Arabidopsis thaliana: one gene and its partners. The protein of the gene in region 1 interacts with the protein of each later gene in a pairwise test. Each region holds a gene or a part of one and is shown on either strand. Other genes may lie near its edges.

The links.
Region 2: the proteins of AT3G07480 (region 1) and EXO70E2 interact in a two-hybrid assay, tested with the Arabidopsis thaliana proteins (one large-scale study listed by BioGRID).
Region 3: the proteins of AT3G07480 (region 1) and GAMMA CA2 interact in a two-hybrid assay, tested with the Arabidopsis thaliana proteins (one large-scale study listed by BioGRID).
Region 4: the proteins of AT3G07480 (region 1) and KLCR2 interact in a two-hybrid assay, tested with the Arabidopsis thaliana proteins (one large-scale study listed by BioGRID).

Annotation. Positions count from the first base shown.
Region 1 is NC_003074.8:2,386,874-2,390,360, reverse strand, and holds AT3G07480 (2Fe-2S ferredoxin-like superfamily protein), read right to left. Parts: upstream 1,659-3,487; 5' UTR 1,336-1,658; coding exon 856-1,335; 3' UTR 538-855; downstream 1-537. Other genes in the region: AT3G07470 (transmembrane protein, putative (Protein of unknown function, DUF538)), read left to right, coding at 2,018-2,473, 3,017-3,070.
Region 2 is NC_003076.8:24,551,966-24,557,554, forward strand, and holds EXO70E2 (exocyst subunit exo70 family protein E2), read left to right. Parts: upstream 1-1,778; 5' UTR 1,779-2,646; coding exon 2,647-4,566; 3' UTR 4,567-5,078; downstream 5,079-5,589. Other genes in the region: RPA70D (Replication factor-A protein 1-like protein), read right to left, coding at 1-50, 156-302, 549-676; ECT3 (evolutionarily conserved C-terminal region 3), read right to left, coding at 5,520-5,589. UniProt on the Arabidopsis thaliana protein: Influences the subcellular localization patterns of other exocyst complex proteins (e.g. SEC5A, SEC15A, SEC15B and EXO84B) leading to their recruitment to exocyst, well-defined large punctate structures throughout the cytosol.
Region 3 is NC_003070.9:17,319,048-17,325,310, forward strand, and holds GAMMA CA2 (gamma carbonic anhydrase 2), read right to left. Parts: upstream 4,438-6,263; 5' UTR 4,301-4,437; coding exon 4,186-4,300; intron 4,038-4,185; coding exon 3,894-4,037; intron 3,634-3,893; coding exon 3,508-3,633; intron 3,406-3,507; coding exon 3,254-3,405; intron 2,637-3,253; coding exon 2,337-2,636; 3' UTR 1,854-2,336; coding exon of another isoform or gene 1,371-1,853; 3' UTR 524-1,370; downstream 1-523. Other genes in the region: PAF2 (20S proteasome alpha subunit F2), read left to right, coding at 173-523, 1,371-1,853; AT1G47265 (uncharacterized protein), read left to right, coding at 5,521-5,751. UniProt on the Arabidopsis thaliana protein: Enzyme involved in the catabolism of H(2)CO(3) but that does not mediates the reversible hydration of carbon dioxide. Mediates complex I assembly in mitochondria and respiration. Binds HCO(3)-.
Region 4 is NC_003074.8:10,379,702-10,384,995, reverse strand, and holds KLCR2 (Tetratricopeptide repeat (TPR)-like superfamily protein), read left to right. Parts: upstream 1-1,746; 5' UTR 1,747-2,156; intron 2,157-2,337; exon of another isoform or gene 2,338-2,371; 5' UTR 2,372-2,402; coding exon 2,403-4,183; coding exon of another isoform or gene 4,184-4,187; exon of another isoform or gene 4,188-4,272; coding exon 4,273-4,483; 3' UTR 4,484-4,766; downstream 4,767-5,294. Other genes in the region: AT3G27950 (GDSL-like Lipase/Acylhydrolase superfamily protein), read right to left, coding at 5,225-5,294.

The DNA of each region.
Region 1 (3,487 bases):
AAGATGCCTAAGCTGTGTTTAGAAACTACTGGTAGGAAAATAATATCTAAACAGTATACTCAATATGTTTTGTTACTGAATCAAACCCTGAACAAGAATCGATCCTACAAACAGAGTTTCTGTTTACAAGGCTCAAATCAAATCTACTAAACCATTGGTATAAGATGCCAGATCCATTCTACCTTATTCCCTTTCCCTAAAAGCAGAAACTGTGATTACAATGCTCAGAGTATATTTAATGTTATCTCAGCCTCACCAAAGATGCAGTGGTTATGAGAATGAAAGATCAAAACTCCACTAATTCTTCTAACTCAACGGAAACACCTCCTTAGACAATTAGACCCGAGAATATAAAGGATGGCCTATTAATCCTAAGCATACCGAAACCGGGAAGATTACTATATGGTCTGTAAAAAGAATCTCATTCCAGTACTAAGAAGTCACATCATTCTATATACTCTCTTTCTCTATGCTTAAAGCTGTTGGCAAATTGAGCTCGAGACCAACAGATATCAACACCAGGTAACCACAATTCAACACAATGTGTTCAATAACCTCCTAGCATTTTCCAATTGCTTTTACCAATCTCTAGATATAACACCATAGTCTCTAACCAATCTAATGGAAGAAGAAGCAACGAAAATGAAATCAAGAAAACAACATTCACCCATACTTGAAGCAGGGAATCGTTTAAACAAGCAGAGTTCTTTACCACATTACAAAATTTAAATGTAAGCAAACGAAAATTACAGATTCAAATGGAGTTATCTTCAGAGTACCGAAATTTCCAAAGCGAATTTTATTAGCCAAATTGAGAACGAACCCAACATTTATGAGATCCTCAAGAACAAAAACTTACGGAATATCCCAAGGCTTAGCTTCAGGGACAGCGACGACCATACCTTGAAGCTCCTGCGTTAACACAACTTGGCAACCAAGACGCGAGTGCTTGTTCAAGATACGGGATCTAGAGCTACGCTTCAGCACATACTCCTCATCGTAAGTACGCGGCGGGAGCTTCTCGAGCCATTCCTCTGCGATCTGAACCTCGCACTCCGCTGAGCAAGCCTCGATGTCATCCAATCTATGCGATGCTGGATCTATCAGACCAGTGTGAGTGAGCGCACGAAGGAGAGTCTGGCCAGAGAGTCCAATGATGTCCTGCTTGTATCCATCGGGATCGATCGCAGAAAGCTTGACGATTCGGTCAGAGACTTTCTTCGATCCCAGAGACGGAGAAGGAGCAGACGTTGCGGATGTGCGAACGATTAGAGATCTGGTGAATGGAGAGAGTCGGTGGATTTGAGAGGAGAGTTTCTGAAGAGTCGTCGCCATCGTCGTTCCCCAATTTTTGGTCGGAGCTCAGATTTTTTGTGCTAATGGTTGAAACCGGAAAAGTGAGTGAGGGTGAAACGCTAATTTGGAGATGGGCTTCTTTATAAGCCCAAAGATAAGTTACATACTTACAAGCCCAAATTTCTAACTGGACCGTTCAATCGAACCGGTCAATATTAATCCAAATATTTTGTTTGGTTTAGTTTGGGTTGAAGAAAACATTGCTTCTATGTATTTTATGAGGCATTTAAGACAGAAAAAAATCTATAAACATTCGAATAGCCGCAAGTCCGGCCAGATCCACTCTGTTCCCATGTGATACGGTCCACCTACTTTTTCCAATAACGCGTAAGAAATTTAGGAAGTTAGAACCAAAGGCTTAACGAAACAAGCCACATTTAACTAAATACTGCTTGGTGGACACACATCCGACGTGGCTATCGTTCATTGGTCTGTTCCATCTATGGAATGAGAAGCACAAGATTACTGCTCCATTCCAAATTCCGCCTTCAATAATTTGATAAAATTTTGATCCACTCTGTTTCAAGCTGTCACCAGAATGTCGTCTTCTTCTTCTTCTCCTTCTTCGTCTTCCCTTAAACCCATTAATTCAATTTCCTGATAAACGAGCAGAGAGAGATCTGTCAAAATCACAAACCGTGAATTCGGGAAGAATAAGCCGATGATGCTTCGTATTGTTCAAATCGCGTTTCTATGTCTCGTTCTCGTCGCCGGGATCTCGATCTCCACGGCGATATCAGAGACTGAGACTATATACGAGATCCTCCTGGCAAACGGATTACCTTCGGGGATATTCCCGAAAGGTGTCAGAGAATTCACCTTCGACGTCGAAACGGGACGATTCTCGGTTTATTTGAATCAGGCATGCGAGGCTAAATACGAGACTGAGATACATTACGACGCCAATATTACGGGGACTATAGGTTCTGCTCAAATCTCTGATTTGTCTGGAATCTCGGCGCAAGAGCTATTCTTGTGGTTTCCGGTTAAAGGAATCCGAGTCGACGTGCCGAGTTCTGGTCTTATATACTTCGACGTTGGTGTTGTTCGAAAGCAATATTCTTTGTCTTTGTTCGAGACTCCGAGAGATTGCGTTCCGGTTCGTGGGATTCACAAGGTATGCAGAATGAGTTTTTTCAATTGAACCTTTAAAGTTCTTGAAAATTATTGAAGGATACTAATGGGCTATAGTGTGAATAGAGATAATTCAAATGTTCTTATCGCTGGATTTTGTGGTTTTTCAATGTCGAGCTTTTGAATATTCACAAGTTTCAGGCTTGCCACTAAGAATTCAAATGAGAATCCTTTTTCAAAGTTTTTTTAGCTTATCTCATTCGTCATCATCTGAAACTTTTGAGATTCCTTTCAATGGTCATTTTTTCTCCATTCTTGACTTGGTTGCGATTTTTGATTGGTCAGGAACTGTTAGACATGTGACATGAAGAATTATCTTTAGAGCTAGGAAAGATTGTTCCTTTTTAGGGTTATGTTCTCCATTCTTGAATTGGTTGAGATTTTTTTATCGGTGAAGAACTGTTAGACTTGTGAAATTGGGAATATCTTTCGAACTAGGAAAGATGGTTTTGAAAGTTTTGCATTGATCAGATTCAATCATGTAATGGAAAATAAGCTAATGTGTGCTCAATGGGTCTTCTTGCAGGTTGAGTTGCCATTGTACCGAGTAGATCAAAATCTTGGGAGAAACATCATTTAGCAAGAGTTTTAAAGAATTGTTGTATACCATACCAGAAAGAAAGGAAGATAGATGTTCTCATCAATCAATTCTTGAAGATACTTCAACTGTTTTGGTCTCAAATCTTAGGCATGATTCAAAATCAAATTGCTTCATTCTTTCCCTCCCCATTCCAGTTTTGCTTCTGTAATTCGTTCTCAGATTAGGCCGGGGACTGAACCGAGGAGAGAATCTGTGGTTTTGAAAAGATGCTAAAGGGATGGCCCAGATTTTGTTGAAGTGATGATAACTGTGAGGTGATGAATGTTTTGTGTTGTATTCTTGTGTCATGTCTAAAACAGATATAATAAATCCTATATTTAGCCAAATAAGTGTTATAGAAAATTGGCAATTTGCAATCATTTCTCTTTCACCGAATATCTGGCTGCTTTGTTTTTG
Region 2 (5,589 bases), on another chromosome or scaffold:
CAGAATCAAGCACAGAACCAACAGCCTCACATTTAGTCACAAGGAAATATCTGACACAGAGACAATAGAGAAACACACATGTTAGTAACTGTTGATTTCAAGAATCGAACCAGAGTGATTATCCATGTAAAGAAGAAGCAAAAGAGAAGTCTTACTTTGTAGATTTGCTTGAAATGTCGTTAACAGTGAAATCAATGAGACGAATTAGACCCAAGTTCTGGATCTTCCCAGAAATGATTTCAGGTGTGAGTGAAGCAGTAAACATTGCTTTGACTTTCGTCTTTCCGTCATTTGCACTAAATCTGTCAACCAAAATCAAAACAGATCCATCAGAACAAAATCGGTAACTAAAACCCAAAACTAGGCAATATACAAACTATTATCAACAAACCCAGATCTCTTCTATCATAGAGTCATCAAAGTCGTTGCATATCATAATCTAGCTATACAATTGTGATTGAGAGAATATAACACTGACCTAAAGCTGGAACAAGCGAGATTTAAGAAATCAAGTAAAACCCAGATCATGAAAAGCCAAGGAAACTTACGTATAGCGATTGCCGATAGGTTTAAGATCCACAACTTGAACAACGATCTCAGATCGATCGGAAGACGAATCAAAGGATGGGTTTGACAAAACGGTGGAGATGGCATCTGGGGTCACCGAAGTCTGCATCTTTCTCTCTAGATATTGAAAAATGAAACGTTTGGTTTCTCTTTAATCAGAATGGTGAAAACTAAAAGCCGTGAGATAGTGAGAAGAATGAGAGAGAGGTACGAGGGTTTTTGTAAAGGAGAGAGCTTTAAGCGGGAGCTATTAAATTCGATTAATTGTTCCCCCGCCGATTTCAATTTCTATTTTTTTGGCAAAAAACTCTTACCGCTTCTTTTCAGTATCTTTCCATTTTTTTGGCGCATTTTGTTTTGTTTGATAATGGACTTTGTATGCGAAAGAAACTGTGTTACAAAAGCCTTTCACTTCAGGCCCATAGTTTATGGTTTTGTTTTTATGTGTGGGTCTTGAATCCACCGTATCACACGTTATGATTCATAAATATCTAAAATTTATTTCCAACAAATACAATTTTTTTGTTTCTTAAAGAACACATACGATATTATTATTTCAGAAAAAGATTAAATACAAAATCCCCAGGATCAAAATCAAACACCAATTCCAGATTAAACAATATCAACAATCTTTAATGTTTTTGACTTTTTTTTTTCTCTGAATGTTTTTGACAATTGAAAAAAATAATTCTACGCATTGCGTGAGGCAAACATTTAAAATTTTAATTTATATAAAGAGAAAATTTATACTTCTTGACTTGGGAAAAAAAAACTTGCTGAGGTCCTTACTTGATATGAGCTGTCAACTACTAGTGTGAGCCGTACAAATATAATCGGACGGTTCAGATCAATACATTGCGAGCCAGTCAAACTTCAAGTATTGACTAATCAACATCAACGTTTATTACACTAATTTATTATTGTACCCCTTATTTTCCAAAAACATAATACTTTTATCCCTATTGTATCCAATAGCTCTAAAAAAATCCACCATAAAATGTGTTTAATGAAATTCGATTATCTCTGACGACAACATTATCAAAAATCAAGACAAGAGATAGAACATAAAATGTTCAAATTCGTAAAAGTAATTGAAACAAATTAAATTCATTTCGAAGTTTATTAATTACATTTTGACCCCCAAATTTAAGTTAATTAGACTTACCATCCCCATGGTTTTCGTCCCGCCATATGGGGAAGTCAATGGACGAATCAATCTCAATTAGATTCGGGGCGGCCCAAAAATTTATCATTTTCTAAACCTTTCGTAATCTACGAAATTACGGGATCGCCTTCGTTGGAATACTAATTCCATTTTTCAACTTTGTTTTTATAAATACAGTTTACGTGCACCACAACTTTTCTTCTTTCCCTTCTTCTTCCCCAATAATCTCGCTGAAACTCTCTTGCTCTTGCTTCTAAAAATCTGTTCTTTGAGACTTTGATCACACAGTTATCAAAATCATAATCTCTTCTTTCCTGGTTTTTTTTTTTTTCTTCTTCTTCTTCCCGTTTCACGGTACGTTTACTCTGTTCGATCACCGAGTGTATGATAAAATGTTTCTGTGAAATCAAATAACATATCACTTTCTAATAAACATCAAAATTTCTCCTTTTTTACAGAAACAAGAAGTTTTTTTGGGAAAGCCGTTGACTTGACTTTTTCTTTGGGGTGTTGTGTGGGAGCTTATAGTATGGTACCATAAGTGGGAGCTTATAGTTTGGGGTGTTGTGTGGGAGCTTATAGTATGAGGAAAAATGTTAGATTTGAAGAATGCTTCACTGATTTTTTACCATAAGTATGTCAACTGGATTAAGCTTAAGTAGTAATGGTTTTTACTATGTTCATGTGGGGATTTCTCTTCCTCTCTGTTTACTTCATTCCGAGATGACTTGAGATTTTTTCAAAGTATAGTTCTTGGAGTTAAGCTTACCTAGTAATCACTTTATATAACATCCCTTCGTTTACATTTGTGCTTTCACCTGGAAACACTTTAGACTTTTCTCTCTTCTGCCGTGTGTATTTAGTTGTCTAGTCAAATTTAAGTTGAGTTTAGGCTCTAGTCTTTGGTTTTGGTTATGGCAGAGTTTGATTCCAAGGTTCCTGTTTCCGGAATGAACAATCATGTCTTTGAGGCATGTCACCATGTTGTTAAGGCACTGAGGGCATCTGATAACAACCTGGATGCCAATTTGAGAAAGCTCCTAAGTGACCTAGAGATGCATTTGTCAACATTTGGGATTGCTGATACCAAAGTTGAAGATGCAGGATTCTCTGAGATCAAGAAGAGATTCAAAGAAGCTGTGAAGAGAATCCGCAGTTGGGAGACAAACCAGTCGACGATGTTTGAAGCTGGTCTGTCTGAAGCTGATCAGTTCTTTCAAGCCCTGTATGACGTTCAAACAGTTCTTGTGGGTTTCAAAGCTTTGCCCATGAAAACTAACCAGATGGAGAAAGATGTTTACAACCAAGCTACGGTTGCTCTTGACATCGCGATGTTGAGGCTTGAGAAAGAGCTCTGTGATGTTCTGCATCAGCACAAACGGCATGTACAGCCTGATTACTTGGCTGTTAGTTCCCGTAGAAAAGATATTGTGTACGACGAGTCCTTTGTCTCCCTAGATGATGAAGTTATTGTCGAAGCTTCTTCACATGAAGATGATGAACAGATATCGGACTTTTATAATTCTGATTTGGTTGATCCCATCGTACTTCCTCACATCAAAGCTATTGCAAACGCCATGTTTGCTTGCGAGTATGATCAACCATTCTGTGAAGCTTTCATCGGCGTTCAAAGAGAAGCTCTGGAGGAGTATATGGTTACTCTCGAAATGGAAAGATTCAGCTGCGTTGATGTTCTCAGAATGGACTGGGAGGATTTGAATGGTGCAATGAGAAAATGGACAAAGGTTGTTAAGATCATTACTCAGGTCTATCTCGCCAGTGAAAAACAGCTATGTGATCAGATTTTGGGAGACTTTGAGTCAATTTCTACAGCTTGCTTCATTGAAATCTCAAAAGATGCAATTCTATCACTCCTCAACTTTGGAGAAGCTGTGGTGCTGAGATCTTGCAAGCCAGAAATGCTTGAGCGCTTCCTTAGTATGTATGAGGTTTCAGCAGAGATTCTCGTGGATGTCGATAACCTCTTCCCCGATGAAACAGGCTCGTCTTTAAGAATTGCATTTCACAACCTGTCAAAAAAACTAGCTGATCATACAACCACAACCTTCTTAAAGTTCAAAGACGCAATAGCCTCAGATGAATCCACACGCCCCTTTCATGGAGGCGGGATTCATCACCTGACCAGGTATGTAATGAACTACTTGAAGCTTCTCCCGGAGTATACCGACTCACTAAACTCACTGCTTCAGAACATACACGTTGACGACTCCATCCCCGAGAAAACAGGAGAAGATGTCCTCCCTTCGACATTCTCTCCAATGGCTAGACACCTCAGGTCAATCGTCACAACTCTAGAATCCAGCCTTGAGCGAAAAGCTCAGCTGTACGCAGACGAAGCACTGAAATCCATTTTCCTGATGAACAACTTCCGTTACATGGTCCAGAAGGTAAAGGGATCAGAGCTGAGACGCTTGTTTGGAGACGAATGGATCAGGAAGCACATTGCAAGCTACCAATGCAATGTCACTAACTACGAGAGATCCACATGGAGCTCCATACTCGCTTTGCTCAGAGACAACAACGACTCTGTAAGAACCCTGAGAGAAAGATGCAGACTTTTCAGCCTTGCATTTGATGATGTTTACAAGAACCAAACCCGTTGGTCAGTCCCTGATTCAGAGCTCCGCGATGATCTTCACATCTCGACCTCTGTCAAGGTTGTTCAGTCTTACAGAGGATTTCTTGGAAGAAATGCAGTTCGCATAGGCGAAAAACACATCCGATACACTTGTGAAGACATTGAGAATATGCTCCTTGATCTCTTTGAATGTTTGCCATCTCCAAGATCACTGCGCAGCTCTCGTAAGAGATGATGATGATGATGACTTGAGCCTAATGGACTCCATCTTTGTTCTTTTGATCTTTTGTTATTTACTCACTTATGCAATGTTTTGTGATTGCTTACATGCAAATAAAGTTGTAGAATTTTTATACTCCATTGTGGGGATGTAATAGTAATTGGCTATCTTGTCACTATGTCATCTTTGACATGCTTAATACAAATTCAATGTTTAAGTCGGATTTAACATTTATAATGACGATGGTTTTTTGGTTAACTCTATGGACTCATCTGATTTAACTGAGGTATGGACTTGGGCTATTTGACTAGGAGATATCTTTGGTGACTTCTTACTACTACTCACCTCTGTATTCTCTGCTGGATTTTGGCATATGCAACAGCAAAGTGTTGTTGATGGAACAAGTGAAGGAAGTGAGCTAGCAGTGGAAAGAAGACTGGGCTGATTATGAATGTCAGTAATGACGTCTCTCCCCAGTCAAGAAGATAACTAGAGAATTATGCTTAGAAGATTTGATGGTAGCCTTGCTATTCTCCATCTATTCTCATCTTCGGAAAATTGTCTAAACTATAGTACCCTTATGTCCAAAAACCTACAATCTTCTGTCAAAATATGAGAAGGAACTTTTTTTGGACCGTTTGATTCCTGCATTCGAGTATGAAGCAGATGCCAAATGTTTCTCTTACTTGTCTTGCCTGAAAAGTTATATAAAACTGAATAAGCTGATTCAATACCAATCTTTTACCCATATCCTCATATGTTGGACCATTACTAAAGGGATAGAGAATAACTGCAAGATGATGAATGCTCATGCCAAAACTTCATCTACTAAGCCACTACCCTCTCAACTCGGTTCCAAAAAAAAAAAAAAAAAAGTCTGCAAATTCAGGAATGGAAACAAAACTAGAGAAACGCTCTAAATAGCCTAAAACAGCCCACCCAGTTCCCACTTAAAACCAAAGGTTGGTTCAGCAGGCAGTAGCAACAGCATTTTTCTCCACAGGTAACTCGGTCTCTTTCACCACTTTCGATTCTTTA
Region 3 (6,263 bases), on another chromosome or scaffold:
TAATTAAACCCAGCCCATTAAGTTTCATAAGCCCATTTTACTCTACTGTCTTCTTTCTCTTTTTTTTGACAATCTTTACTTTCTTCTTCTAAGCTCTATAAGAGAGACCATCCTCCTCTAGCTTGAAGCAAACGAAAAGCTTTTGAAGAACAGAGGAACAAGAAGAAGAAAGATGTTCAGGAACCAGTACGACACAGATGTGACAACATGGAGTCCCACAGGTCGACTATTCCAAGTCGAATACGCCATGGAAGCTGTGAAACAAGGCTCCGCAGCAATAGGACTCAGATCTCGCTCTCATGTCGTCCTCGCTTGTGTCAACAAAGCACAATCAGAGCTCTCTTCTCATCAAAGGAAGATCTTTAAAGTCGATGATCATATTGGTGTTGCTATTGCTGGTCTCACTGCTGATGGTCGTGTTCTCTCTCGATATATGAGATCTGAGTCTATTAATCACTCTTTTACTTATGAGTCTCCTCTTCCTGTTGGTCGTCTTGTTGTTCATCTTGCTGATAAAGCTCAGGTAAATTGAGATTTTTGGGTTAACTTTTGAATTTTGACCTAGAATTTGCTAAAGGGTTTAGTTTTATGATGTGTGAGTATCTGAAAGTTTGAAGCTTTATGTAATTGGAGTAAAGTTTAGGTTTTTATTAGCAATGTGGCCAATTTTATTTGTAGAATGTGTGTGTTGTTATGCAAGTAGTGATATTGGTTTGTGATCAAGTCTTAGTGATTGGGAATTAGAGATTCTTGTGTTGTTAATCATATCCAGTTCTGTTGCTAGTTGCTTAATCCGATTAGAAAGAGTTAACCTGTATACCCACTTTGACGATAGAAGTGTATAAGAATGTGATGATTTTGGTCGTTTGGTTGTTTCTGTGTTGTCATCGTCTGTTCTCTTTGCTTGATAGAGTTGTTTTTGCTTGCAATTCTAGAATAAATATACGTCTTTGTTGATCTCTTTTTGGTTTTGTGGTTTTGACTTGTATTACTTTGCATTTGTTTACTTACTTGTAGTTGTAGTATGTCCTGGCCACTTTATTTACTTGCCTAATGAAGTATATTTTCAGTAAGATGTTGGTTTACAGTTGTGATAGAAATTTGTGCTACATGTTCACTACTTTTGGTGTTAAACGTAGTGTTCTCAAGTTAGATGATGTGTTCACAATTTTTAAAAGGTTTGATTGCTACGTCCCACTTACTTTCATGTCTGTCAAAAATTAAGTTAGCTGCTGTATCTACATTTTCAATTGATTTCTGAGAACGTATTGATATCAGTCTTGTAGTTTGAACAACACTCTGATTTCATTCAAATGTTAAGTCATTTGTTTGTCTTGTATTAAACATCTTCATAAATTATCTTTGAGCAGGTATGTACCCAACGATCATGGAAACGGCCTTATGGTGTGGGTTTGCTGGTAGGTGGATTGGACGAGTCAGGAGCTCACCTCTACTACAACTGCCCTAGCGGAAACTACTTTGAATATCAAGCATTCGCTATCGGGTCTCGTTCACAAGCTGCGAAAACCTATCTGGAGCGCAAATTCGAGAGCTTCCAAGAATCATCAAAAGAAGATCTGATAAAAGATGCTATTATGGCCATAAGGGAAACTTTGCAAGGGGAAACACTGAAGAGCTCGCTCTGCACTGTTTCTGTTCTAGGAGTCGATGAACCATTCCATTTCTTGGACCAGGAAAGCATTCAAAAGGTGATTGATACGTTTGAGAAGGTTCCTGAGGAAGAGGAAGATGCTGGTGAGGGTGAGGCCGAACCCGAAGCTGCTCCTGGTGCTGCTGGAACTGGTGAACAAGGTGGTTCAGGTGATCAAGATGTTGCACCAATGGAAATTTGAGCAAGAGGGAATGAGTTCAAAGTTGGATTTTCTAACCAATTTTCTTGTGTGTAGCTCTTTGATATGTTCCAACTTCCAAGTACAATTGTGGTTTTTATTCGGCTTTGTTTATTTAACAGCTTGGAACAAGGAGTTATTGAGTGCCACTAGCTTATGTTTAGTCCTACTTAAGTCAAATCTGTCACATGATAATAATAATCGGCGAATCGCCAACCTAGAGAGTGTATCAAACAGACACCATTTTGAATGAGAGAAACAGCGAGAGAAAGAATGAAAGATTAATCCAACTTTGTTTCTCTTTCTGCAAATTGTTCCTCGAAGAAATGACTTCATAATGCAACCATACATTATTGAGCAAGGATGATAAATCTCCTGCTTGCTCGGAAGAAAAGTTAAAACCAAAATAATATCTCTCTTGACCTTCCAGAGAATCAATCCTGTCTTGAAATGATTTCAACACACAAAAACAACCTGAGATTGGAATTAGAAGTACTGAGTAGACGGAACCTTGGCGACGGGTTTACCACCTGGTAAGACATTGTCGGGAAGAATCAACTCCGGTGGAGTTTCACGGGTAATCCCAAGCATTGAATCGTAATCCTCGTCCTTGCGTGCATACTTCTTCCTAAGCGCTCTCTCAACCTCGATCTGCTCAAATGACTTTGAATTCTCTGAGGCGTGAATCTGTGCGAGATTGATGTAATTCTTTGCTGACTGTGAGATGTATACTATCTCTTCATCTGTTAACTTTCTCATGAACTTTGCTGGATTTCCTCCCCACACCTGCCACATGAAACTGATAACTTATAGATATGTCCTTGTAAATATATTCTCAGGTTGACGGTTGAAGAAAGTAGTTCAAAAGCATAGCGATATAAGAAATCCGTCTAATTCCTCATAAAACATTGGAAACACAAGAACCCTCTGTTACTCCCAACTCACCCTTGTTTCATATACAAGTAGAATTGCAACGGAAACAAAGGTGGTTCTCAGATTTAGACGATATATAAATACTATTTACTCTTCTTTTTGATCAAAATATAATACAATTTACAGGCATATCATTTCATTAACTAATTCTGTATCAACTAAATTGTAAGCAAAGCAAAAGTGGATCTACTTGAAGAAGTTCAGCTGGTCAAGCCTTAGCTACAGGTCAGCGTAGGACTAAATGCAGCAGACTACAGCTGCTATTACTTGGTTAATTAGCAGTTCGTTATTAGGCTTGGTAGAGCTTCAGGGTCCGTGATAAGTAAACCTAGCTAGAGTTCTATTTTTGGTTCTTGATACTTTGGATTTTCTCGTTCAGTTTAGTGAGAAATAAAGCAGTTTCCAGTTCCAGTCTTATCACAAACTCCGTAAGCAGTAAACCAGAAAAGATAAAGTGGAAAGAAAGAAACCTCTCCAGAAGGGATTCGCGTGTTCTGTTTCACAAGAGAACCAGCAGCAACCATGGCATGTTTCTCAACCACCACACCATCAAGTAGTGTTGCTCCCATACCAACAAAAGCATCATCCTCAACAGTACACCCATGAATGACAGCACTGTGACCTGCTCCGTTTCATTTTACAAACAAAACCTTTAACTAACAATCGTGTAACACAACATAAAAACAGATACTTCAAAACTGATAAATCGCTTTTTAAGGTTTACCTACTGTTACATTGTCCCCAATCAGAGTAGGTAGAACCTTGCCACTTATGTTGGTCTTTGCAACATGTACAAGCGTATTATCTTGGATATTCGTCCCAGATCCAACACTGATGTTATTCACATCACCTGCACAAGTTAGAAACCCAGATTAACATACAATAAGTTTCACAGCTACTTCATGACACATTTTATCGACAGTACAATAAATCTATGTCCAATGATCAGGACAGTAACGTATAACAGCGATACAAGATTATTAGAAGGTAAAGAGAACTTCATTTCCTAAAACTAAACTATGACTACTTTGCACAATATACTGCTGCAAAATTTGGTACTTCTATCGAACCAAAGGCCATTAAGACTTTCTAGAAGTAATAAAGCCTCACCTCGAAGAACACAGCCATACCAAATCGACGAGCCTTTTCCGATCTGAACATCACCAATAACAGAAGCACTCGGAGCCACAAACACATCTTTATCCACCAATGGTGATTTATCAAACACATTCATCAACGTCCGATGCCTCGACACTGAAAACAAACACAAATTTCTCGAATCAAATTTTTTCAATCTAAGCCACAAATTTCTCCAATCAAAGGTGAAGACACAAATTAGAGATAACGAATTGGATCTAGGGTTTCAATAGAGAGTATTAAGTGGAAGGATCTGGAAGCTTACGATGTTCCTCGATACGGTGACTTCCTTGAAGAAGAGAACCAACGCGATCAAGAGCTTGACCAGTTCCACGAATCCAGTTACCCACAGTGTAAATTGCTCGTCCTAGGGTTCCCATTTTTTTGTGATTCTCCGATTACCCAAAGTGTGAAAATGAGAAGGCTTTGTTGTTTTTGGTGTCGCTCCACCAGATAGAGAGAGGTTTATGGAGGCGTATTGATGGGAGGATTTTTTTTTTTAACTCGAGTGAGTTCGTTTATTTTGTTGACCTCTAAATTTTTAGAGTATGGAGTGGTAACTGGTAAGCTAAACCAAACCGAAATTTATTGGTTGGACTTACAGAGATTGTGAATACAAAATCCGGATAGATTCGTTTTGCAATGTAAGGAGATGGAACAAAGCTTTCAGGAGACAAACACAAAAATGAGTAAAATAATTAATATAATTTAGCAAAGAAAATAAAGAGATAAAAATAGAGATATTAGCTTATATTGTGCATTGGATATTGGAAGTATTGCATAAAGCAAAGAAATAGTTTTTAGTATAAGGATTGGAAAAAACATTGTTTGTATCTAAAATGGGGTCAAGAATGTAGAAGATGGAGTTTCTTGGGTGTTTTTCTTGGAGTTATACTAGAAAGAAGTCGGGCAAGTGATATTTACGCGTGGGCGATTTCTCTCTCAAATTTTTTTCTTCTTATAATCACAATCTCTTGTTCCGTCAATAAGTTTTTTCGTTGACTCCAGCGACGAAGAAACCCATTGGGACATGGTGCTTCAACCGTGATCCGCTACATCTTCTCGGCAATTCAATCTATTCAAAATCAAGGGAGCAGTGGAGGGCAAATGCGGCATTAGGGGAGTGCAAGAGGAGCAATTGCACAGGATCCAAAAATTATTTGATCAAAATTAAAGGGTAAAATAAAAAAATTTATCAAATTTGAGGTCAAAAAGATAATTTTGACTAAATCTGAGGGCCATAATAAAATTTTAACTAAATGTAAGGGCCAAACTCAAAATATTTAGTATAAAAGGGCTAAATTTGAAAATTTGTACAGTGACAGAGAATATATTGAGTTGGCCCTGGTGGAGGGGAGAAGATTATGCGAGACACTGTCGGTAAGAGCTATATCGGTGGTGTGGCTTCACGGAGAGGAAGGATGAGACTTCACAGTGAAGAACAAGGGCTGACGGCGGTTAGGTCGGAAGTCTAAAGATTCTGGAGGTTTCATTGGGTCGCCGCTTGATGGGGGAGGTCGACTCCGCTTCGGTGAGGCTTTACCACCGTCGATGGTCTTGAGATCTACTCACTACTGCCGTCAACTCTCTCGACTGAGCTATGAGATTCATGACTATGGCAACCCGGATCGCCTCTTCCTCCTCAAAACTGCTCTACGGTGGCAGGAGGACAACGGATCCTGAATTACCATCTCCGTTCGACGAATCTCGTCTAGGCTCCCCAAAGGGTTTCTGTTCCGGTGAGATTCTGCAATTCTTGGACGGCGGCTCAGATCGTGTTTTACGATATGAGATTAGGATTTTCAACTTTCGGTTTAGATCGGTTTTGTAATAGATGGTTTAGTCTGGTTATATGTAAGTGGATTGAGTCTAAGGGAAAATGTATGAGCCTAAATCCGGAAATAGTCCATTGGACCTTATTTATAACATTGAAAACCATTTTACAAAAAAAAAGATGGAGTCTCTTTTCTTAGGGTCTCCACCTCTCTTTATAGTCTTTTCCTTCCTCCTATGTATCTTTATTTGGCCATTAGGTACATATCTAGCTCATAAAATAACTCTCATAATTAATTCGTAAACTTGAATGGCAAGTTTACTCCTTAAACCATGACCATTAATTCATAAATTTAATCACAAATTAATATCAAGATTTAACCACCTTTCTTATGCAAGATGTACATTCTTTGCTCTGTAAAGTGATGGAACTTGGATGCGTAAGATGGATTTGTCGTGCGCGATCCGGTATCAACATAAGCTTGAGTTCTTTGAGTAAGGTTATTTGCTTGAAGACTAATATTCTTGTAATGCTGTTGGATATGAATTTGGATTAAGTAGTTGCGAGGT
Region 4 (5,294 bases), 8.0 Mb from region 1:
TTATTGTACAATTCAATGACTGATGTTGTGGCAAATTTGTCAAAATTTATCAAACTTTTGTCAGAGATAGTATTTGACAAATTTGTCAAAATTATATACGTTCTGACCTAAAATTTTCGAAGAAAACAAAAACGTGTTGGTAATATAAAACGCGTAGGAATTTAGAAAACCAAATAATTTGTGAACAGATAAGATTTGATATGGGATTCGAGCGGCGAAAGAGTTAAAGAAAACAGCACCGCCCAACAGTCGTCAATGATTACAATTTGTTTTCAGTTCATAAATTAATCCAATGAATTGCTTATGAACTGACGATAAAAAAGAATTGCTTATAACTTTGTGAATAGGAAATAATAAAGTATTTGTGGTTACAGAGTTGTCTTTATGCAATATACAAAAATAAAAATCCGAAGGAAGAGACGTTGTTAGGTCTTAGAATTATGAACAAACGTGTGGGTTGTCTCTGTCTCTTGTAAGAAACCAAGTCATACATAATTTGCATATATAATATGACCGACCAACCAAATAATATAATGTTATGGGCTCTTAACAAAAACATATATAAATAGTCATTTCGTTGTGACAAGAAAAAAAAAATAAATAAAAATAATAGTCATTTCGATATTTTGTTGGTTGGCTAGTGAAAAAATTGCCTTAAGCGCATTATCGTTTTTTCACAATAAAATTGACTCATGAAATATGGGAACGAGAGTTCTATAAAAATTACATTTTGGGTAGGCCCTACACTGATGACTATAAGGGCCCATAAAGCCGTAATGGGCTTAAAGGTGGACCACATCTGGACCATAAAACCAGGCTGTCTAACTGGTATGCAGCTGTAGTCCACGTGTCATATCATTTCGTCATTAAGAAAAATTCTTACTAAATTAGTGATTCAATCCTTTAAATCCAGTGGTCCAATTTTTCTTTCCATAAAGAGTTAAAGACTATACTAAAAAAAAAACACTGCATCATTATATCAATCAAAAGGCTAAATTTTTAACTGTTCACGTTTTTAATATTACGTATATAGATTAGAGATCATGGGATGATCATTAGAGATAATTGATGATTAAGTATGACACGTGGCGGAATCTCAACGGTACTTATTATACAGCTGTGAATTTGTAGGGTTTGACGTAGACTTGTGAATTGTGATCTTTCCCCAGCATTTAATTAGCTGGCTAATTAACCTGCAAAACTCAATTTTTTTTTGTTCTAATTTAACTCATTAAATCCCTAAAAAATTGCATTTCAAGGAAACAATATTTCTTTTAGGATAAATAAGAAAAATAATTAATTCTTAACGGGCAAAACTCAAACTTTAACTTTAAAAAAACAAATTCATGAAAAAATTGCATGTGAAGGAAACAATATTTTTTAAAAGTTTTAATTAAAAAAAAGGTAATCTTGAAATGGATGAAACATTCATTTCATAGTGTTTAGTTTCCAGAAAGAATCTCGTTTTTTTCTGCTGTAATTTTTGGGGAATTATTTTTTATCTGTCGGTTTTACTTTTCCTTCTTTGAAAATTTGTAATTTTCTTTGGTTTCACAGCAAATTTTTAATCAAATTTTAGATGATAAAAAAAATGGATGAGACATTCATTATTATTTTTCAAAGAGATAAATTTATTTATAAAATTGAGGAAAAAAGATAAATTATTTAAAGAGAGAGTGCAAGTAGGGAAGAAGTCATCTTCTTTTTATTGCTTCAAGAGTCAATCATCTTCAAACCTAATGATCTTCAAAAAAATTTCTGGTTATGCATCTCTTTCTTGAAAAAATAATCATATAATCACATCAAAAAGAGTCAATTATCATCTTCATTATCTTAATATAATCAATCAATAATTCAATTTAAAAGGTAAATTAAAGTAAGCAATGTAGACCCAAAAAAAAAAGTCTGCTTTTGTTTCAAAACATATAAGGACAGTGAAAGGGTTTGTGCATAAATGTTGTTGCTTCATCTTTCTCATAACATTAGCTATGAGATTATGAAAGTGAAGATATAAAACAAACACCTAAAAGTGAAAAGTACAAGACACCAAATCCTTCATTTTCATCTCTTACACAACCACACTAAGTTACCAAAAAACAGAATCTGTTCTTTTTTTGCCTTCTTGCAGATTTCTTCAGAGTCAAAGACACATAAAGGTTCGATTTTTATCTCTTAAAATCTTCAAAGTTTTCGTTTTTCTTTTCAATTTCGTTGAATTTGATTCTGGGTTTTGTTCTCTGTTAGTAACTGAATCTATGTCAGCTTTAGATAATTCTAGTTAGGGACTTATGGTTCTCAATTTCGAGTCTTTTGATGTTATCTTGTTGTTTTAACGGATTTGAATCTAAAATCTTGGTCTCCATTGATTCAGATTTATAATTGAGTTGTGAGTTTTGGAGGCCATGGACGTAGGAGAGAGCAATGAGAGGGTAAAAGACGATTCTGCCCTTCAAGCTTCACCGAGGAGTCCTCTGAGTTCTATAGATCTTGCAATTGATGGAGCTATGAATGCTTCTATTGAGCAGTTGTATCATAACGTTTGTGAAATGGAGAGTTCTGATGATCAGTCTCCGTCCAGGGCGAGTTTTATTTCGTATGGAGCTGAATCTAGGATTGATTTGGAGTTGAGGCATTTGGTTGGAGATGTAGGAGAAGAAGGAGAGAGCAAGAAAGAGATTATCTTGGAGAAGAAGGAAGAAAGTAATGGAGAAGGTAGCTTGAGTCAGAAGAAACCTCTTTCGAATGGTAAGAAGGTTGCGAAAACGAGTCCTAATAATCCGAAGATGCCGGGTTCGAGGATCTCTTCGAGGAAATCACCGGATTTGGGGAAGGTTTCTGTTGATGAGGAGAGTCCTGAGCTTGGTGTGGTGTTGTTGAAGCAAGCCAGAGAGTTGGTTTCTTCAGGTGAGAATTTAAACAAGGCTCTTGATTTAGCGTTGAGAGCGGTGAAAGTGTTTGAGAAATGTGGGGAAGGAGAGAAACAACTTGGGTTGAATTTGGTGATGTCTTTGCATATCTTGGCAGCGATATATGCAGGGTTAGGGAGATACAATGACGCTGTGCCTGTTCTTGAACGTTCTATCGAGATACCGATGATTGAAGATGGTGAGGATCACGCGTTGGCGAAATTTGCAGGGTGTATGCAGCTTGGTGACATGTATGGTTTGATGGGTCAAGTTGAAAATTCGATTATGCTATACACCGCGGGTTTGGAGATTCAAAGACAAGTTCTTGGAGAATCGGATGCACGAGTTGGCGAAACTTGTAGGTACTTAGCGGAAGCTCATGTTCAAGCAATGCAGTTTGAAGAAGCCTCAAGGCTTTGTCAAATGGCATTGGACATTCACAAAGAAAACGGTGCTGCCGCTACAGCTTCTATTGAAGAAGCTGCGGATAGAAAACTGATGGGACTTATCTGCGATGCGAAAGGTGATTATGAAGTTGCGCTTGAGCATTATGTTTTAGCGAGCATGGCAATGTCATCTCAGAACCATAGAGAAGATGTTGCTGCTGTAGATTGCAGTATTGGTGATGCTTACATGTCGCTAGCTAGGTTTGATGAAGCGATATTCGCATACCAGAAGGCTTTAGCTGTGTTTAAGCAAGGAAAAGGTGAGACTCATTCCTCTGTTGCTTTGGTTTACGTTAGGCTTGCTGACTTGTACAACAAGATTGGGAAAACACGCGATTCCAAATCGTACTGCGAAAACGCTCTCAAGATTTACCTAAAACCGACTCCAGGAACTCCTATGGAAGAGGTTGCGACTGGTTTTATAGAGATTTCTGCGATATATCAGTCAATGAATGAACTTGATCAAGCTCTTAAGTTGTTGAGACGGGCGTTGAAGATATATGCAAACGCTCCAGGTCAACAGAACACGATTGCAGGTATTGAAGCTCAAATGGGTGTGGTTACTTATATGATGGGAAATTACTCCGAGTCCTACGACATATTCAAGAGCGCGATATCAAAGTTCCGCAATAGCGGAGAGAAAAAAACCGCTCTTTTCGGGATTGCTTTGAATCAGATGGGACTAGCTTGCGTTCAGCGTTACGCGATCAATGAAGCTGCAGATTTGTTTGAAGAAGCGAAAACTATTCTTGAGAAAGAGTGTGGACCGTACCATCCCGATACATTAGCGGTTTACAGTAACCTTGCTGGAACGTACGACGCAATGGGAAGGTAAATTTGGAACTTAAAACAATTTTCTTGCTAGGTTATGTTTTTTGGTATTTCCCTGCGGTACAAGCAATGTGTTACTTGCTTTACAGGTTAGATGATGCTATAGAGATATTGGAGTATGTTGTTGGGACAAGAGAAGAGAAGCTCGGGACGGCAAATCCCGAGGTTGAGGACGAGAAGCAGAGGCTTGCTGCGTTGTTGAAAGAAGCTGGAAGAGGAAGGAGTAAAAGAAACAGAGCACTTCTTACCCTTTTGGACAACAACCCTGAAATTGCAAATGGACAGAGACCGGTTTATTGATTAACCGGATTATTGTCCGGTCTAAAATGTATATATATACAAAATACAAGTTCGAATACGGTACTTACACGGTCGAGGGAGAAGGAAAAAAATGAAGAGGCTTTATGTTTTCTAGTTTTATAAAAAGTGAAGGAAAAAAAAAAAAATCTTGCATTTGTTTTCTTTATAAATAAAATGTAAAGAGTAAAACGCAATTGATTTGGTCGTTTTGTAATGTGATTTACATTGAAATTTTGGAGTTTAAAAATCTCCTTGATGGCAGTTTCTCTAACTTTGAGCACTGATCTTGAGTAAACAACAAGTGTTTGGTTACTAAAACATCTTGTCTGGTCTTGTCATGTAATGTTCATGAATGTCAACAAAAAACAATAACCGAATATACACATACATATGTAGCATGAGAACATAAAGAGACGACCCACCGAATCAAGAAGTTGTCACTTAGCAAAGCAACAAAAGAAAAGTTGTCACTAAGCAAAAGATAATCTGAACTAAGCGGTTTAAAATTTCTTACCAAACAAGTTACTGATTATTTGATATAGTCTTTTATATAATAACTAATATGATAAGATGTGAATAGAAACATTCTGCTTAAAGCTGCATATATTGTAACCAATGACTTTTTGAAGAAAATTTTACATTGATTCAAAAACAAAAAGAGAGATGTGAATAGAAATTTTGGCTAGTTACTTGAAAGCACCAGAAATATGCTAGACATTTATTAGTTTATATCATGGCAACTTATTTTTTCGTGAGTTTACATGCTTTTTGGGTAGGGAGAGGTGGATCCGATATCGAACCATCGAGGATT